Linked DNA regions of Callithrix jacchus. The protein of the gene in region 2 purifies or fractionates together with the protein of the main gene of each other region. This does not show direct contact. Links are inferred from orthologs where the notes say so. Each region holds a gene or a part of one and is shown on either strand. Other genes may lie near its edges.

Evidence for each region. The genes of interacting proteins can lie anywhere in the genome.
Region 1: the proteins of DNAJC17 (region 2) and CDC5L purify together in Homo sapiens (affinity purification with mass spectrometry; 3 studies listed by BioGRID and IntAct, with this or other methods). This does not show direct contact. The link is inferred for Callithrix jacchus from reciprocal best matches to the Homo sapiens genes DNAJC17 and CDC5L.

What each region holds. Positions count from the first base shown.
Region 1 is NC_133505.1:52,852,085-52,860,032, forward strand, and holds part of CDC5L (cell division cycle 5-like protein), read left to right. Parts: intron 1-444; coding exon 445-572; intron 573-3,789; coding exon 3,790-3,889; intron 3,890-7,948.
Region 2 is NC_133509.1:45,781,553-45,789,500, forward strand, and holds part of DNAJC17 (dnaJ homolog subfamily C member 17), read left to right. Parts: intron 1-4,453; coding exon 4,454-4,523; intron 4,524-4,851; coding exon 4,852-4,910; intron 4,911-5,158; coding exon 5,159-5,246; intron 5,247-7,948. UniProt on the Homo sapiens protein: May negatively affect PAX8-induced thyroglobulin/TG transcription.

The DNA.
Region 1 (7,948 bases), on a different chromosome or scaffold from region 2:
AAAATTATGCCTTCTGTTGTATACTTCTTAAAATAATAATTGAAAAAAATTATACAAGTCATGCATGTTTATCATTAGAAAATCTGGGGAAAAAATAGTAAAAGAGCAAATAAAAGCCACCATAATCATGCTGCTGAGAATTAACTATTGCAACATTTTGGTTCTTTACTAATAGTTTTTTTTTTTTTAAAGTCTGTGTGGCTGTACTGCAGTTGTGATTAGGATCTGTTGGGTCCTTTTTCAGAGTGATTGAAAGCAGTCACTGAAATTAGCGAATTTTAATATCATCTCTTTGAAATGAAGTAATGTAGAAAGGCTTTATTTTGTTAAAGCCCATCCATTTTTTTTTTGGGGGGGGGCAAAAAGAGTGTCAGAGCTTGGAAATGATAATTTTAACACTAAATGGTATTATAGTGTGACTAACTCATGTGGGCTTTTTTCTAGGGATAAAGCTGCCCAAAGAGACAATGAAGAGGAAACAACAGATGATCCACGAAAACTTAAACCTGGAGAAATAGATCCAAATCCAGAAACAAAACCAGCACGGCCTGATCCAATTGATATGGATGAGGGTAAGTGTGTGCTTTGAGGAATTTATTTCTTTGGTAACTATAAACTCCTCAGGTCTCTTTTTAACTCTTTTAGTTCCTTTCTGAACTCCTCTACTTTAGAATCCCTTCCTTTTTTTTTTTTGAGACAAGGTCTTGCTCTTGTTACCCAGGCTGGAATGCAGTGGCACAATCATGGTTCATTGCAGTGTTCACCTCCCGTGCTTAAATGATCTTCCCACCTCAGCCTCCTGAGTAGTTGGGACTACAGATGTGTGCCACCATGCCTGGCTAATTTTTTAATTTTTTCTAGAGATGGGGTCTCCCTGTGTTACCCAGGCTGGTCTCAAACTCCTGGGCTTAAGCTATCCTCCCTTCTCTGCTTCCCAAAGAGTTGATATTATATCTGTGAGCCACCATACCTGGCCCCTATTTCTGTTAGCAGTTCTTATTCTAAGTATCTTTCCAAATGTGTCCAGTGTTTTCTGTTATAGAGTAATTGCTTTTTCTGAATAGTGTCCCTTTATCTTGTTTTTTCAGTTCAGTTAATTAAGCAGTGTTACTGGGTGTGGTGGTGTGTGCCTGTAGTGCTGGCTGCTAAGCAAATTGAGGTGGGATGATCTCTTGAACCCAAGAGTTGGAGGCCAGTGTGGGCAATATAACGAGACCCTGTCTTTAAAGTTGAGTAGTGTAATTCTACTGGGTGGATTTTTCAGAGGCTGGAGGTGAGCTCTTGAGGATCCTGTTTCTCATTCCTATTCCATGGAGAGAGGCAGCAAGTTGGAATATTGGACCTCAGTCCTCCTATTAATTACTAAATTGACTACAGGCAAGTTATTTATTCTGTGTGAGAAGGCAACACTGTGAGACAGTGATGGAGACTTACAAGTGATTCTGTGAGGTATTGAATCAGGAGTTCTGTACTAGAAAGTATATGGAATCAATCTAAGTGTCCATCAATGGATGAATGGATAAAGAAAATGTGGGCTGGGCATGGTGGCTCACGGCTGTAATCTCAGCACTTTGGGCATATCACTTGAGCCCAGGAATTTGAGACCAGCATAGCCAACATGGTGAAACCCTGCCTCTATAAAAAATACAAAAATTAGCCAGGTGTGGTGGCGCATGCCTGTAGATCCAGCTACTGGGGAGGCTGAGGTGGGAGGATCACTTGAGCCTAGGAGGCTGAGTTTGCAGAGAGCCAAGATCAAGCTTTGGCACTGCAGCCTGGACAACAGAGCAAGACCCTGTCTCAAAAAAAAAAAATAGTGATGTACACACACACACACACACACACGCACGCACACACAAAATACTATTTGGCCATAAAAAACAATGAAATGTCATTTGCAGCAGCATGGATGGCACTAGAAGTCATTATGTTACGTGAAATAAGCCGGGAACAGAGAGAGAAATACTGCATATTCTCACTCATCTGTGGGAGCTAAAAACATTTATTTCATGGAGGTAGAGAATAGAGTGATAGATGCCAGAGGCTGGGAACAGTGTGTAGGTGGGAGAGCGGGATGAAGACGGGTTGGTTAATGGGTACAAGTATAGATGGAAAGAAATAAGTTACAATGTTTGGTAGCAGAATAGGGTCACTATAGTTAGCGACAGTGTATTATGTATTCCAAAGTAGCTGGAAGAGAGATCTGAAATAAATACTCAAGGCAGTGGATACCCCAGATACCCTGACTTGATCATTACACATTCTATGCATGTAACAAACTCTCACACGTACACTATAAATATGTAAAGTATGTATTAACAGAAAATCAAGAATTGGATTTTCAACCTGTGTGTGCCACCTATTAGTTGTTTGACCTTCAGCAAGTCTTAAAATCTCTTCGAGCTGTGATTCCCTTTGTTGCTAGATGGAGAATACTAGTAACTGCTTTACCTTAGCAGGGTTGTTGTGAAGCATTCAGTGACTATTTGTTGAGTTTCTAAAATATAAAAGTTTGAATGTAGTGGTTCCCAAAGGCAGGCTGTGGCTAGGCTGGCTGCATCATTATCACAGGGGGTACATTTAAAAATAGAAATATGAGGGCTTCCCCTGTATATACGGAGTCAGTACATCTGAGGTGGTGTGAGGGGCAAGGGAAGAGCAGTGACCTTGGAATCTGAGTATTTTACAAGTTCCCATGTGATTTGGTTGGACAGCCTCGCATAGGAATTGTTTGAAGGCATCAATAATGGCGTGTGTTACTCCATTCCACAGAGCCATGCAAAATGTATTGGAGGAGAGAAATTGTTCTGAGGGAAAAAAAAGCATCTCATGATAGCAGTTCTCTCATAATGAAATCGTTTTTACCATATTTCACAATTTGTGCTGTGTCAGTTAGTTGATGATAATGAAGGATACAGTAATTCTAGCCACTGTTTGATGAATAGGATGCTTTACATATTTCATTTTACTTAGCTCTTCTCAACATCCTTGTGAAGTAGGAATTGTCTTCCAATTTTATAGGAAGATACACTTAGGGAGGGTGAGTAAGTGACTATAAGGTCACATAGCTAGCAAGTGGTGGGCCTGATTTTTAACCTAGGTTCTTTGATTTCAAAACTCAAGCTGTTTCCATTATGCTACACTGTGAGTATATTTATGTTTTTTTCTAATAGAGTAATAGAGTGTCTCTTACATACCTTGCTTGTAAGGTATGTAAGAACTAAGAAAAAACTTAGTTTTTCTTCTTTTTTTTTTCCCCACATGAAAGTTTTTAGTTTATTAAGCTTCTTGTGAAAAATCCACAATGGCCACAGGTAACATCATTGCAGCACCTTTACCCCTTTGGCTGTGATCCAGTCCCCAGCTCACTTTTTGCCAGCATCAACATTGGCCTTTGTGGTCTCCCTGACTTTCTTCATTCTGTTCCTGCGTTCCTTTCGTTGTGTTCTTGAGGTCTTTTTCTTCTCATATAGGCCATGTCTTTCAAGTCTATGTTTGGTTTCATTTTTCTTTGCATACAGGGGATCATAAATCATGCCAAAGCCAGTTGTCTTACCACCACCAAAATGAGTTCTGAATCCAAATACAAAGATGACATCCGGTGTGGTCTTGTACATTTGGCTAGTTTTTCCCAAATTTCTGTCTTAGGCACTGTTGCTTTCCCGGGGTAAAGGACAATGACCATTTATTTCCTCTGAAGCAGTCGGTTGGTCATGAACTTTCTAGTGTGGATAGTTACTGTGTCGTTCATGATGGCGGTCTCAGTTTTTCTTCTTTTAATTTTTGCAGATGAACTTGAGATGCTTTCTGAAGCCAGAGCTCGCTTGGCTAATACTCAGGGAAAGAAGGCCAAGAGGAAAGCAAGAGAGAAACAATTGGAAGAAGCAAGGTATGTGTGGATATAGGAATAAAAAGCAAAGTGTTTTTTTCACTTAACTATCAACACAGAATACTTCTGTGACCAGATAGGTGTTTTCTTCCCCCCACCCACCCCCCACCACCAGCAAGCAGGCAATCCTGCAGTGGATAGCAGGTTGTCCTCTAATTCAGTTAACTCTAATACTGTCTATCTGGAGATAGCTCCAGATCTCACAGGTTGAAGACTTAGTCCCACAAGACTGAACACCAGTTTTGATGCTTGACCACAAGCCTCAGGTTGTTTTTCTTGTGTTTCTGACTAAAGAGCTGGCTTCCACTGCCTTCTCCTTGGGTTCTATTCATTTGCTAGAGGGCCCACAGAACTCAAGAAAATACTCAATTTACTAGTTTATTATAAAGGATATGTTAAAGGATACAAATTAACAGCCACATGAAGAGATACATAGGGTGAAGTCTGGAAGGGTCCTGAATGCAGGTGCTTATGTCCCATTGAAGCTGGGATATGCCACCCTCTGAGCAAGTGGGTGTGTTCTTGTTCACCTTTTTGGAAGCCCCATGTATTTGGCTGCCCACAAGTTCTCCAGACTCTGTCCTTTTGGGTTTGTATGGAGGCTTCATTACATAGGCAAGATTGATTACATCATTGGCCGTTGCTTATCAACTGAACCCTCAGCCCTTCTCCCCTCTCCTGAGGTTGGGGGGTAGGGCTGAAAGTCCCAATCCTCTAATACTGCCTTGGTCTTTCTGGTGACAGCCATCAGTCAACTCATTAACATACAGAAAGACCCTTATCACTCGGAAGAGTCCCAGGATTTTAGAAGTTGCATTGTTGTAAACAGGGATGAAGACCAAATATATTATTTCACAATGTCACAGTGTGGTTGTTACCATTCATAGTTCAGTAATTAGTCTAGGCATCCTAAGGACCAATAAAAATGACATGATTTATTTTTTTTATTTGTTTTGTTTTTGAGATGGAATTTCGCTCTTTTTACCCAGGCTGGAGTGCAATGGCGCAATCTCGGCTCATCACAGCCTATTCTCCTGCCTCAGCCTCCTGGGTAGCTGGGATTACAGGCACGCGCCACCACTCCCACCTAATTTTTTTTTTTTGTATTTTTAGTAGAAACGGGGTTTCACCATGTTGACTAGGATGGTCTCTATCTCTTGACCTCATGATCCACCCGCCTCGGCCTCCCAAAGTGCTGGGATTACAGGCTTGAGCCACCGCGCCCGGTGCGACATGATTTATTAACCCTGTTGGGTGAATGATAATTGGAATTGTCCAATTCTCATTTTGCTAGTATTCTTTACCTTCTTTATTTCTCTGAAAACATCTTGTATTTTTTTCCCTAACCATTTCAGAATAGTTAGAGAAAACCATATTTTAAAAAATTTAAGCTGGCCAGTTGCTGGCCCAGTTTATCCAGTATGTTGAGTTTGTTCTGTTGTCTTATGAGAGCTTCACTTGTTGTAGCTATTTTGGAGTCATGATTTTAGGACACACAAGATTATGTGTCTTTTGTATGACTGCTAATTAGTTACTTTGCTTGATTGGTATTGGGCAGGCACTGGCCGTGAAATAGAATACTTGGCTGAACAAAGAGGGAATTAATGAGCCTAGAACCAAATTTAGGCCCTCACAGAAATCTTTATTTAAAAAGTAAATGAGTATATATTGCACATTGTCTTTCACCCAGGATTTTCTTCGCTTTCCCCTTTTTTCCTTTTGGTTAAGTCCATGATTGATGTCCCAGTAACTCAGAATCCAAGATGAAGTCAGTAAAGGGCAAATTTGGACCGGCCCTGGAATAACCTCCCTGTCCTACACAGTGCCCCTTTGTGGACCCCAGGTTGGCCTGCTGGTGCTTCTTCACCTGATGACGAGCAGTATGTTGGAATTAATGGCTTTGAAGTGCCAGATTCTGGGATGGAGGATTTTTTTCATGCCTGAGGATGCATGTTGGCAGAGCTGACCAGCTGCTAGCCTAGAATAGTTAACTTATGTTGAGGGTATGAGCTGCCTGGGACAGTAAACAGAAACCAAGAGGAAGTACTAAACTTTCTCCCATTCTTGGCCACCTCTCTATTCTGTATACTATTTAGAGTTAAATACTGTGAGTAAGGTTGAAAAAAAATTACTTTTCCATTTTTATCCGTGGTTGTTGGGGACCAAATTTTTAGAGCCTTTTAACCATGTGGATTGGACCAGGGATACAGCAAATAAATATGTGAAAAATCTCCAAGTATGGCTAGCATTGATTGCTTTAAATAAAAGTTGCAGATTTTAATTTACCCTATAATTTCTTGTAGGCATTCTTATAGATTCTGCAAATCTTTATAAGTTATATTATAACAGGCTGGGTTAGCCTTTATGCAGAATGCAGCGCAGGGCTATTTGTTTTAAATGTTAAATTACAAATCTACCTTTTAACTTAAAGCAGTTTTTTATTGATTATAAAGTAGCACATTTTTTCTTCCAGTATTGTTAATGTTCTAATTTTGGGACATATGCAATATAATACTTTATGACTTGGTTATAGACATTTAGCATTATGGTGTAAAGGTTTTCTAATGTGGTTTGAAGTCTTTATTTCCATTATTTAAAGAATGAAATTACTTTAAAATTTGAAATATATATCTCTAAACTTTTCTTTCAACATAGATGTGTATTTATACATGTATATATACACTAACATTTCTACAAAATTGAATCATACTGTATTGTTTTAATGAGAAATACTGTAAATCTTACTGAGATTTCCTTGTATTGTTGAATCATTTTTGTTTTATTGCTTTTAATTTTTATTTTTTTTTAAGAGAGGGTTTTTCTCTGTTGCCTTGGCTGTAGTGCAGAGTTCACTGCAGCCCTCAACTCCTGGGCTCAAGTAATCCTCTGCCTTAGCCTCCTGAGTAGCTGGATCTACCAGATGCACACCACCATGCCCACCTAATTACAAAAAAATTTTTTTGTTGAGACGGAGTCTTACTGTGTTGCCCAGGCTGGTCTTGAACTCCTGACCTCAAGCCATCCTTCTTTCTTGGACTCCCGAAGTGCCAGGATTACAGGTGCGAGCCACTGTGATTGGCCTGTCTTACTGGTTTTCAATCTTCTCGTCTTTGGCTTTCAACATTTTTAATATGATGTGTCTGTCTGTAGATTTCTTTTTGTTTATCTTGGAGTTCATTGAGCTTACCGGATATGTAGATTAATATTTTTCAATAAATTTTTCAAAATTTTGGCCATTAAACATATCTTCACACATTTTATTCTGCTCCTTTCACTTCTCTCCTTTTGGTACTCCTCTTATGCTTATGTTGGTGCATTTAATAGTGCCACATATTTCTCTGAGGCTCTGTTCATATTTCTTCATTCTTATTCTCTCCTGTTGAGCCTCTCTAGTGAAGTTTACATTTCAGCTTTGTACTTTTTTTTTCTCTTTTGGACAGAGTCTTGCTTTGTCACCCAGGCTGGAGTGCACTGGCACAATCTCTGCTTACTTCAGCCTCCACCTGTTGGGTTTAAGCAGTTCTCCTGCCTCAGCCTCCTGAGTACCTGGAACTACAGGCGTGTGCTACCATGCTCGCCTAATTTTTGTATTTTTTGTAGAGACGGAGTTTCACCCTGTTGGCCAGGCTGGTCTCAAACTCCTGACCTCAGGTAGTCTGCCTGCCTTGGCCTCCCAAAGTGCTGGGATTATAGGTGTGAGCCACTGTGGCCACTTTTTTTTTAATTAAGTAAATTAATTTTTCTTAAAATTTTTTTTCCACGTTTTTGTTATTTCCTTCCTTTTCCCTACTTAGCTGATCAGCTTTGTGCTTTTCAATTTGAAAACTTCATTTGGTTCTTCTTAAACATTTCTGTCTCTTTATTGATATTCTCTATTTGATGCAACATTGTCGTCATACCTTCCCTTACTTTTTGGTTTCCTTTTTGTTTTGGAACATATAGTGGCTACTTTCAAGTCTGTTAATCTGACATCTTGTTGCTCACATAGGCAGTTTCTGTTGCTTGTATTTTTTCTAGGATATGGATCATTCTTTCCTGTTCCTTTGCATGTATTATAAT
Region 2 (7,948 bases):
TTTCAGTAGAGACGGGGTTTCACCATGTTGGCCAGGATGGTCTCAATCTCTTGACCTCGTGATCTACCCACCTCAGCCTCCCAAAGTGCTGGGATTATAGGCATGAGCCACCGTGCCTGGCCTATTTTTATTTTTTAAGACAGGTTCTGTTCTGTCTCCCACTAGAGTGCACTGGTAAGATCATGGCTCACTGCAGTTTCAAAATCCTGGGCTCAAGTGATCCTCCCACTTCAGCTTCTTGAGTTGCATGCCACTAAACAGAGCTAATTAAAAAAATGTTTTTAGAGATGGGATCTTACTATGTTGCCCAGGTTGGCCTTCAACTTCTGGGCTCAAGCAGTTCTCCCACCTTGGCCTCCCAAACTGCTGGACTACAGGAGTGTGCCACTGCACCTATGACATTTTTTGGTTGAAGTTTTTTTTTTTTTGGATGGAGTCTTCCTTCCTCTGTCGCCCAGGCTGGAGTGCAGTGGTGTGATCTCAGCTCCTGCAACTTCCACCTCCCGGGTTCAAGCAGTTCTCCTGCCTCAGCCTCCAGAGTAGCTGGGACTACAGGTGCCTGCCACCACACCAGCTAATTTTTTTGTATTTTTAGTAGAGACAGGGTTTCACCGTCTTGGCCAGGCTGGTCTTGAACTCCTGACCTTGTGATTCACCCACCTTGGCCTCCCAAAGTGCTAGAATTACAGGTGTGAGCCACCGCGCCCGGCCAAAATTTTTTAATTAATCAAATGTTCTTTGACAGAAAAAGCTTATAGCAAACATGTCTGTTTTCATGTTCCTTTTTGTTCTTAGTACCTTTTACTGATTAAAGCAGAACTTTTCTATTTCTCCTCTAAGTTGATCTGGAGAAGAGTCTAGACTTCACTCTCTCAAGTAGTTGAACCAAACAGCTTGCCCTGGCGGTTCACAGCTTGCCCACAGTTGCCTTGGCAGGTCAAGGGTGGTGCTGGCTGTGGCCCAGCAGGTGGCAGCACACCCCTGAGGTCCTGGGCCCGGTGCTGTCTCATGCAGGCAGGAGCTGCCCCGAAAGTGCTCACCTGGCAGATGCCGGCTGCTTACCTCTTGAGTCTAGACTTCTCCAGATCAACTTAGAGGAGAAATAGCAAAGGTCCTTTTTTTAAACCCCCCTGTTTTAAAGGCCATTTCAGGCTCTCTGCCTGGAGAACTGCTCACCTTAGACCCAGCTCAGATAGTGCCTCCTCCAGGAAGCCTTCAGAGCTAAATTAGTCGCTGCCTTCTCTGTGTTCCCATTTTAATGGACCACTCTTAGGCATCTCACACATGTAATTGGAACTGATAGTTTTCCCTGGAATCCTCTTTGCTAAACAGTATTCTTCTTCAGAGCCAGAGAACATGCCTGTTTGTCCCTGTGTTCCCAGTCTCCCATCAGCACCTGCATATCCTAGATCCCTATCAGTGAACGCAAGGCGGGTCAGTGCATGCTGCACCGAGGGGCTCTTGGAGAGCTCTGTATGGACCTCACTTCTCTCCCTGCTAATATCTAGCCAGTATATGAGACTGGCAGTTGTTTCCTAAACGACTTTGAAATACAGAATGTTCAGCTCCTTATATATATATATATATATATATATATATATATATATATATATATATATTTTTTTTTTTTTTTTGAGACAGAGTCTCACCGTGTCACCCAGGCTGGAGTGCAGTGGCACAATCTCAGTTCACTACAACCTCCGCCTTCCAGGATCAAGCAGTTCTCCTGCCTCAGCCTCCCAAGTAGCTGGCATTACAGGCACGTGCCACGACGCCTGGCTGATTTTTTATATTTTTAGTAGAGACGGGGTTTCACCATGTTAGCCAGGATGGTCTCGATCTTCTGATCTCGTGATCTGACCGCCTCAGCCTCCCAAAGTGCTGGGACTACAGCAGTAAGCCACCACGCCCAGCCATTTTTTTTTAATTCTTTTTTTTTTTGAGATGGAATCTTGCTCTGTCACACAGGCTGGAGTGCAGTGGCATGATCTTGGCTCACTGCAACCTCCACCTCCCAGGTTCAAGTGATTCTCTTGCCTCAGCCTCCCAAGTAGCTAGGATTACAGGCATGTGCCACCACACCTGGCTAATTTTTTGTATTGTTAGTAGAGATGGGGTTTCACCATTGTTAGCCAGGATGGTCTCAATCTCCTGACCTCATGATCGGCCCGCCTCAGCCTCCCAAAATGCTGGGATTACAGGCGGGAGCCACCACACCAAGCTAATTTTTTTATTTTTTGGCAATAATGAAGACTTACTGTATTGCTCAGACTGGTCTTACACTTCTGAGTTTAAGCAGTCCTCCCACCTCAGCTTCCCAAAGTGCTGGGTTTACAGGTGTGAGCCACACTGCACCCAAGCTGTTTGTTTGTTTTAAACTCAAAAGTTTATAGTAAGATCTGTGTCAGAACATGGATACCTCTATTATAATCTTTTGTTTTTTAATTTTTTTTTTTTTTTTGAGACGGAGTTTCGCTCTTGTTACCCAGGCTGGAGTGCAATGGCGCGATCTCGGCTCATTGCAACCTCCGCCTCCTGGGTTCAGGCAATTCTCCTGCCTCCGCCTCCTGAGCAGCTGGGATTACAGGCACGCACCACCGTGCCCAGCTAATTTTTTGTATTTTCAGTGGAGACAGGGTTTCACCATGTTGACCAGGATGGTCTCGATCTCTTGACCTCGTGATCCACCCGCCTCGGCCTCCCAAAGTGCTGGGATTACAGGCTTGAGCCACCGTGCCCGGCCTTGTTTTTTAATTTTTAAAAATAGGCATAGCAAATTCCAGAACAAACTTTTAAAATTTCTTTTCTTTTTTCTTTCTTTTTTTTTTTTTTTTTTAGTCAGAACTAAAACCTAAAGAACAAACTTTTTTAAAAATTTTATTTTTTATTCTATTTTTGAGCCAGGGTCTCCCTTTGTCACTTAGGCTGGAGTGCATTGGCACAATCTCGGCTCACTACAACCTCTGCCTCTAGGGCTCAGGTGATTCTCCTGCCTCAGCCTCCCGAGTAGCTGGCACTATAGGTGCACGCCACCACACCCAGCGAATTTTTGTATTTTTAGTAGAGACGTTGCACCTCTGCCTCTGGGTTCAAGCAATTCTTCTGCCTCAGCCTCACAAGTAGCTGGGATTACAGGCAAATGCACCACCACACCCAGCTAATTTTCATATTTTTAGTAGAGATGGGGTTTTGCCCTATTGGCCAAGATGGTCTCAACTCCTGACCTCAAGTGATCAGCCTGCCTCAGCCTCCCAAAGTGCTGTGATTACAGGTGTGAGCCACCACGCCTGGCCTCAATCATAATCTTTTATTTTATTTTGTTTGAGACACAGTTTCACTCTGCTGCCCAGGCCAGAGTGCAGTGGCGTGATCTCAGCTCACTGCAACCTCCACCTCCCAGGTTCAAGTGATTCTCCTGTCTCAGCCTCCAAGTTTCTGGGATTACAGGCACCTGCCACTATGCCTGGCTAAATTTTGTATTTTTATTAGCGACAGGCTTTCACCATGTTAATCAGGCTGTTCTCAAACTCCTGACCTCAGGTGATCCTCCCGCCTCAGCCTCCCAAAGTGCTGAGATTACAAGCATGAGCCACTGAACTTGGCTAATGATAATCCTTTAAATGAGTCTCCCTGCTGACGGGGATCTTGTTAAGCTGGTATAAACAGTGCCATACTGAGCATCCTTATATATTTATTTTGCCGTACTTCTACAAGTCCAGATGCCTAGGACTGGGTCAAAGGGAAATAACATTTTAAATTTTGATGGCTGAATCTTCCTCCAGATAGGTCACCCTAGTTTATAGGCCCACTGAAAATGTGTAGAGTACCTGTCTGCGCATGGCTATAGAGAAAGCAGGGTACTGGCCGGGCACGGTGGCTCAAGCCTGTAATCCCAGCACTTTGGAAGGCTGAGGCGGGTGGATCACGAGGTCAAGAGATCGAGACCATCCTGGCCAACATAGTGAAACCCTGTCTCTACTAAAAACACAAAAATTAGCTGGCCGTGGTGGCGTGCGCCTGTAGTCCCAGCTACTCAGGAGGCTGAGGCAGGAGAATTGCTTGAACTTGGGAGGTGGAGGTTGTAGTGAGTCGAGATTGTGCCATTGCACTCCAGCCTGGCACCTGGTGACAAAGTGAGACTCTGTCTCAAAAAAAAAAAAAAAAAAGAGAAAGCAGGGTACTGTGCTCCTGCCCGTTCTGGGAGCCGCTGAATATATGCAGTGGTGAGACTGAGTGCTTAGAAGGAAGTGGGCCCAGCTCCTGTGCTGGGCGATAGTGGCTTGCTCCCCCCACGGCCTTGGCCTCCTCCATTGCAGGTCTCCCTGGCAGCAATGGAGTGGGTGCCAGCAGCTTTTCTTTTAGGTGTGCACGTGATTTCCCTTACCCTTTTAGCAAGGTTTTCCTGTTTGTGGGATGAGAGTGAATGACCATGTCTTCTGTCTGACTCTTCCAGGTGAAGAAGGCATTTAGGCAGAAGGCCCTCTCCTGCCACCCAGACAAAAATCCAGATAATCCCAGAGCAGGTGAGACTCTTCTAAGGGTGTGGGGAGAGGCCCACTCACCCGCGCATTGCGTTTTGTGCTAGAGCTCTGCATGTGAGTGCTTTGGGGGGGTAGGCACACACAGCCTGGCTCCAGAAAGTGGAACCCACGGCTTCCATTCATGTCAGGGGTGTCTGGTCAGTTGCTGATGTGCTCACCCCTCCTTGTTGGTCTGTCATCTGCTGATCGCAACTTTTCTGCCATCCTGTGGCTTCTTTGAAGTGTTTTTTTTTTTTTTTTGAGGGAGCACACCATCACAAAGTGTTAACTTTTTTTTTCTTCTCTCTCTCTTTTTGATCCTTACGTTTAGCTGAACTCTTCCACCAGCTTTCTCAGGCCTTGGAGGTGCTGACCGACGCTGCTGCCAGGGTAAGCACAGCCTCCTTTATCTGAATCGTCCCCCATGCTTAGAGACCACTGCTGCCCCTCAGCCTCAGTCCTCTGCCCTTTGCCATGTGGCACAGTTCTTGCTCTAAGTCCTTGCTGTCTAAGCCCAGAAGACTCAGTCACCAGGCTGCCACTCTGATGGTTCTTGGGCTAGGGGCCACGTAGATTGCTGGGGCTCCTGTCTTTATTCTCTGGCTGACCCTCTGCCCTGTGCCCCTTTGTCCTGCCAGGCTGCCTATGACAAGGTCAGGAAAGCCAAGAAGCAGGCAGCAGAGAGGACCCAGAAACTTGATGAGAAAAGGAAGAAAGTGAAGCTTGGTAGGTAACACGTAGTGCTGGATGGCCTGTGGTTTCCTGTGGGCATTTTCACTCATCTCCCTCACCTGGAGCTTTATTCCCAGCAGCTCACCTCAAAGCCTTCTGGCTCAGGATCTGGGCAAAATGATGTTCTTAGAGGTTGGTTCCTAAAGACACTCTTAGGAATAATAACGGTAATAAGGTTTAATATTAGCTAAGCATTGTGACAAATGCTTATCCATCCTTTAATTGTCATAACTGTACAAGGAAGTGTGGGTACTAAACCTTTTTTAAAATCTTTTTTTTTTTTGAGATAGGGTCTCACCTTGTCGCCTAGGCTGGAGTGCAGTGGCTCTATCGTGGCTTATTGCAACCTCCACCCCTGGATTCAAGCGATTCTCGTGCCTCAGCCTCCCGAGTAGTGGGACTACAGGCATGTATGTATCACCATGCCCAGCTAATGTTGTTCAGTTTTTGTAGAGATGGAGTTTCACCATGTTGGCCAGGCTGGTCTTAAATTCCTGGCCTCAAATTATCCACCTCAGCCTCCCAAAGTGCTGGTATTACAGGCGTGAGCCACCGCACCTGGCCTCAAGCCATTTTTTATAGGCAAAGGAGCTAAGGCACCAAAAGTTTAAGAGCTTGCTGGAGCTGGGATTTAAACTGACCCAGTGTGAGTAAAATTGGTGCTTGTGTTCACCATGCCCAGCTGAATCTTTTTTTTTTTTTTTAAGAGAGATGAGGTTCTGTACTGTATGTACCCAGACGAGGGTGGTACCATCATAGCTCACTGCTGCCTCAAACTCCTGGGCTCAAGCAGTCCTCCTGCCTCAGCCTCCTGAGTAGCTGGGACTACAGGTGCGAGCCACTGTGCCTGGCTGGGTCTTTTCATTTTTACTAACCCCAATTCCTACCCAGAGTTTCACTTTGAGAAGCTCCCTCAGAAGGATTCAAAGAGGTCTAAGCTTTCTCTTCTCTAATAGCTTTATTGAGGTATTCTTTGTATATCATAACATCAACCCATTTCGACTCTACACTTCAATGATTTTTAGTAAATTTACCAAATAATGCAACTCTGACTGTAAATCAAATTTAGAACATTTTCATCAACCCAGTAAGATTGGTCCAAGCATTTTTTTTTTTCTCATTAAAAAAAAAAATCGATCCAAGATGGCCGACCACTAACAGCTCAGGATTGTAGCTCCCAGTGAAAGCTCAGAGAACGAGACGACGCCACATCATTAGACGAATTTTCGTCACTCACCGATTAGCCGACTCCCAGTGGAGGAGCCCCACGGGTCGCCAGCGCGACTCTTGTGGCCGCTGCAGCGGTTTTGCCGGCGTCTCGGCGCAGCAGCTCTTCACGCAGAGCCAACGGGACCGCTTCCCCTACTGACCAGAGTTTGGAGCTCCGGGAAGTCAGAGCCGCTTGTTGCGGACTCAAGAGGGAAGCCAGACCAGAGATTCCCGGGCAGAAGAGCACCATCAGTCTTATCGCTGCTATTTAGGCTGCCACAGTGGGTGGCTCGGATCCCAGCACTGGGAATCAGTAAGTCGGACGTCGACTCAGAAAACTAATTAGAAAGGCGGTTCATCTAAAATGAAGGGAAAAAAACAGCCTAAGAAGGCTGAGTATACTCAAAATCAGAACCCATCAGCAACGGAACAAGCCCTGATGGAAAAGGACTCATCAGCAACCGAACAAGCCCTGATGGAAAAGGACTCATCAGTAACGGAACAAGCCCTGATGGAAAAGGACTGTGTTCCATTATCTGAAGTAGGCTTTAAAAGGTGGATGATAAGAAACTTCTGGGAGTTAAAGGAACTTGTTCTAACCCAATGTAAAGAAACTAAGAACTTGGAAAAAAGGTTCGATGAAATGTTGAAAAGAATAGACAATATAGAGAGGAATACAAATGAACTTATGGAGTTGAAAAATACAACACGAGAACTGAGTGAAATATGTACAAGCTTAAACAGCCGAATGGATCAAGCAGAAGAAAGGGTATTAGAGGTCGAAGACCAACTTAATGAAACAAAACGACAAGACAAGAATAGAGAAAAAAGGATAAAAAGGAATGAGCAAAGTCTCCAAGAAATATGGGACTATGTGAAAAGACCTAATATACGCTTGATTGGTGTACCTGAATGTGACGGAGAGAATGAAGTCAAGCTGGAAAATACTCTCCAGGACATTATCCAGGAAAATTTTCCTAATTTAGCAAAGCAGGACACTATTCAACCCCAGGCAATACAGAGAACACCACAAAGATATTCCTCAAGAAGACCAACCCCAAGGCACATAATCGTTAGATTCACCAAGATCGAAACGAAGGAGAAAATATTAAGGGCAGCCAGAGAGAAAGATCAAGTTACCCATAAAGGTAAGCCTATTAGGCTTACAGCAGATCTCTCAACGGAAACCCTACAAGCTAGAAGAGAGTGGGGGCCAATATTCAATATACTTAAAGAACAAAACTTTCAGCCCAGAATTTCATATCCTGCCAATTTAAGCTTTACATTTGAAGGAAAAATAAAATCTTTTAGGAACAAGCAAGTACTCAGAGATTTTATTACCACCAGGCCTGCTTTACAAGAACTTCTAAAAGAAGCATTATACACAGAAAGGAACAACCAGTATGATCCTTTCTAAAAATACACCAAAAAGTAAAGAGCGTTAACATAAAGAAGAATTTTTATCAACAAAAGGACAAAATAGCCAG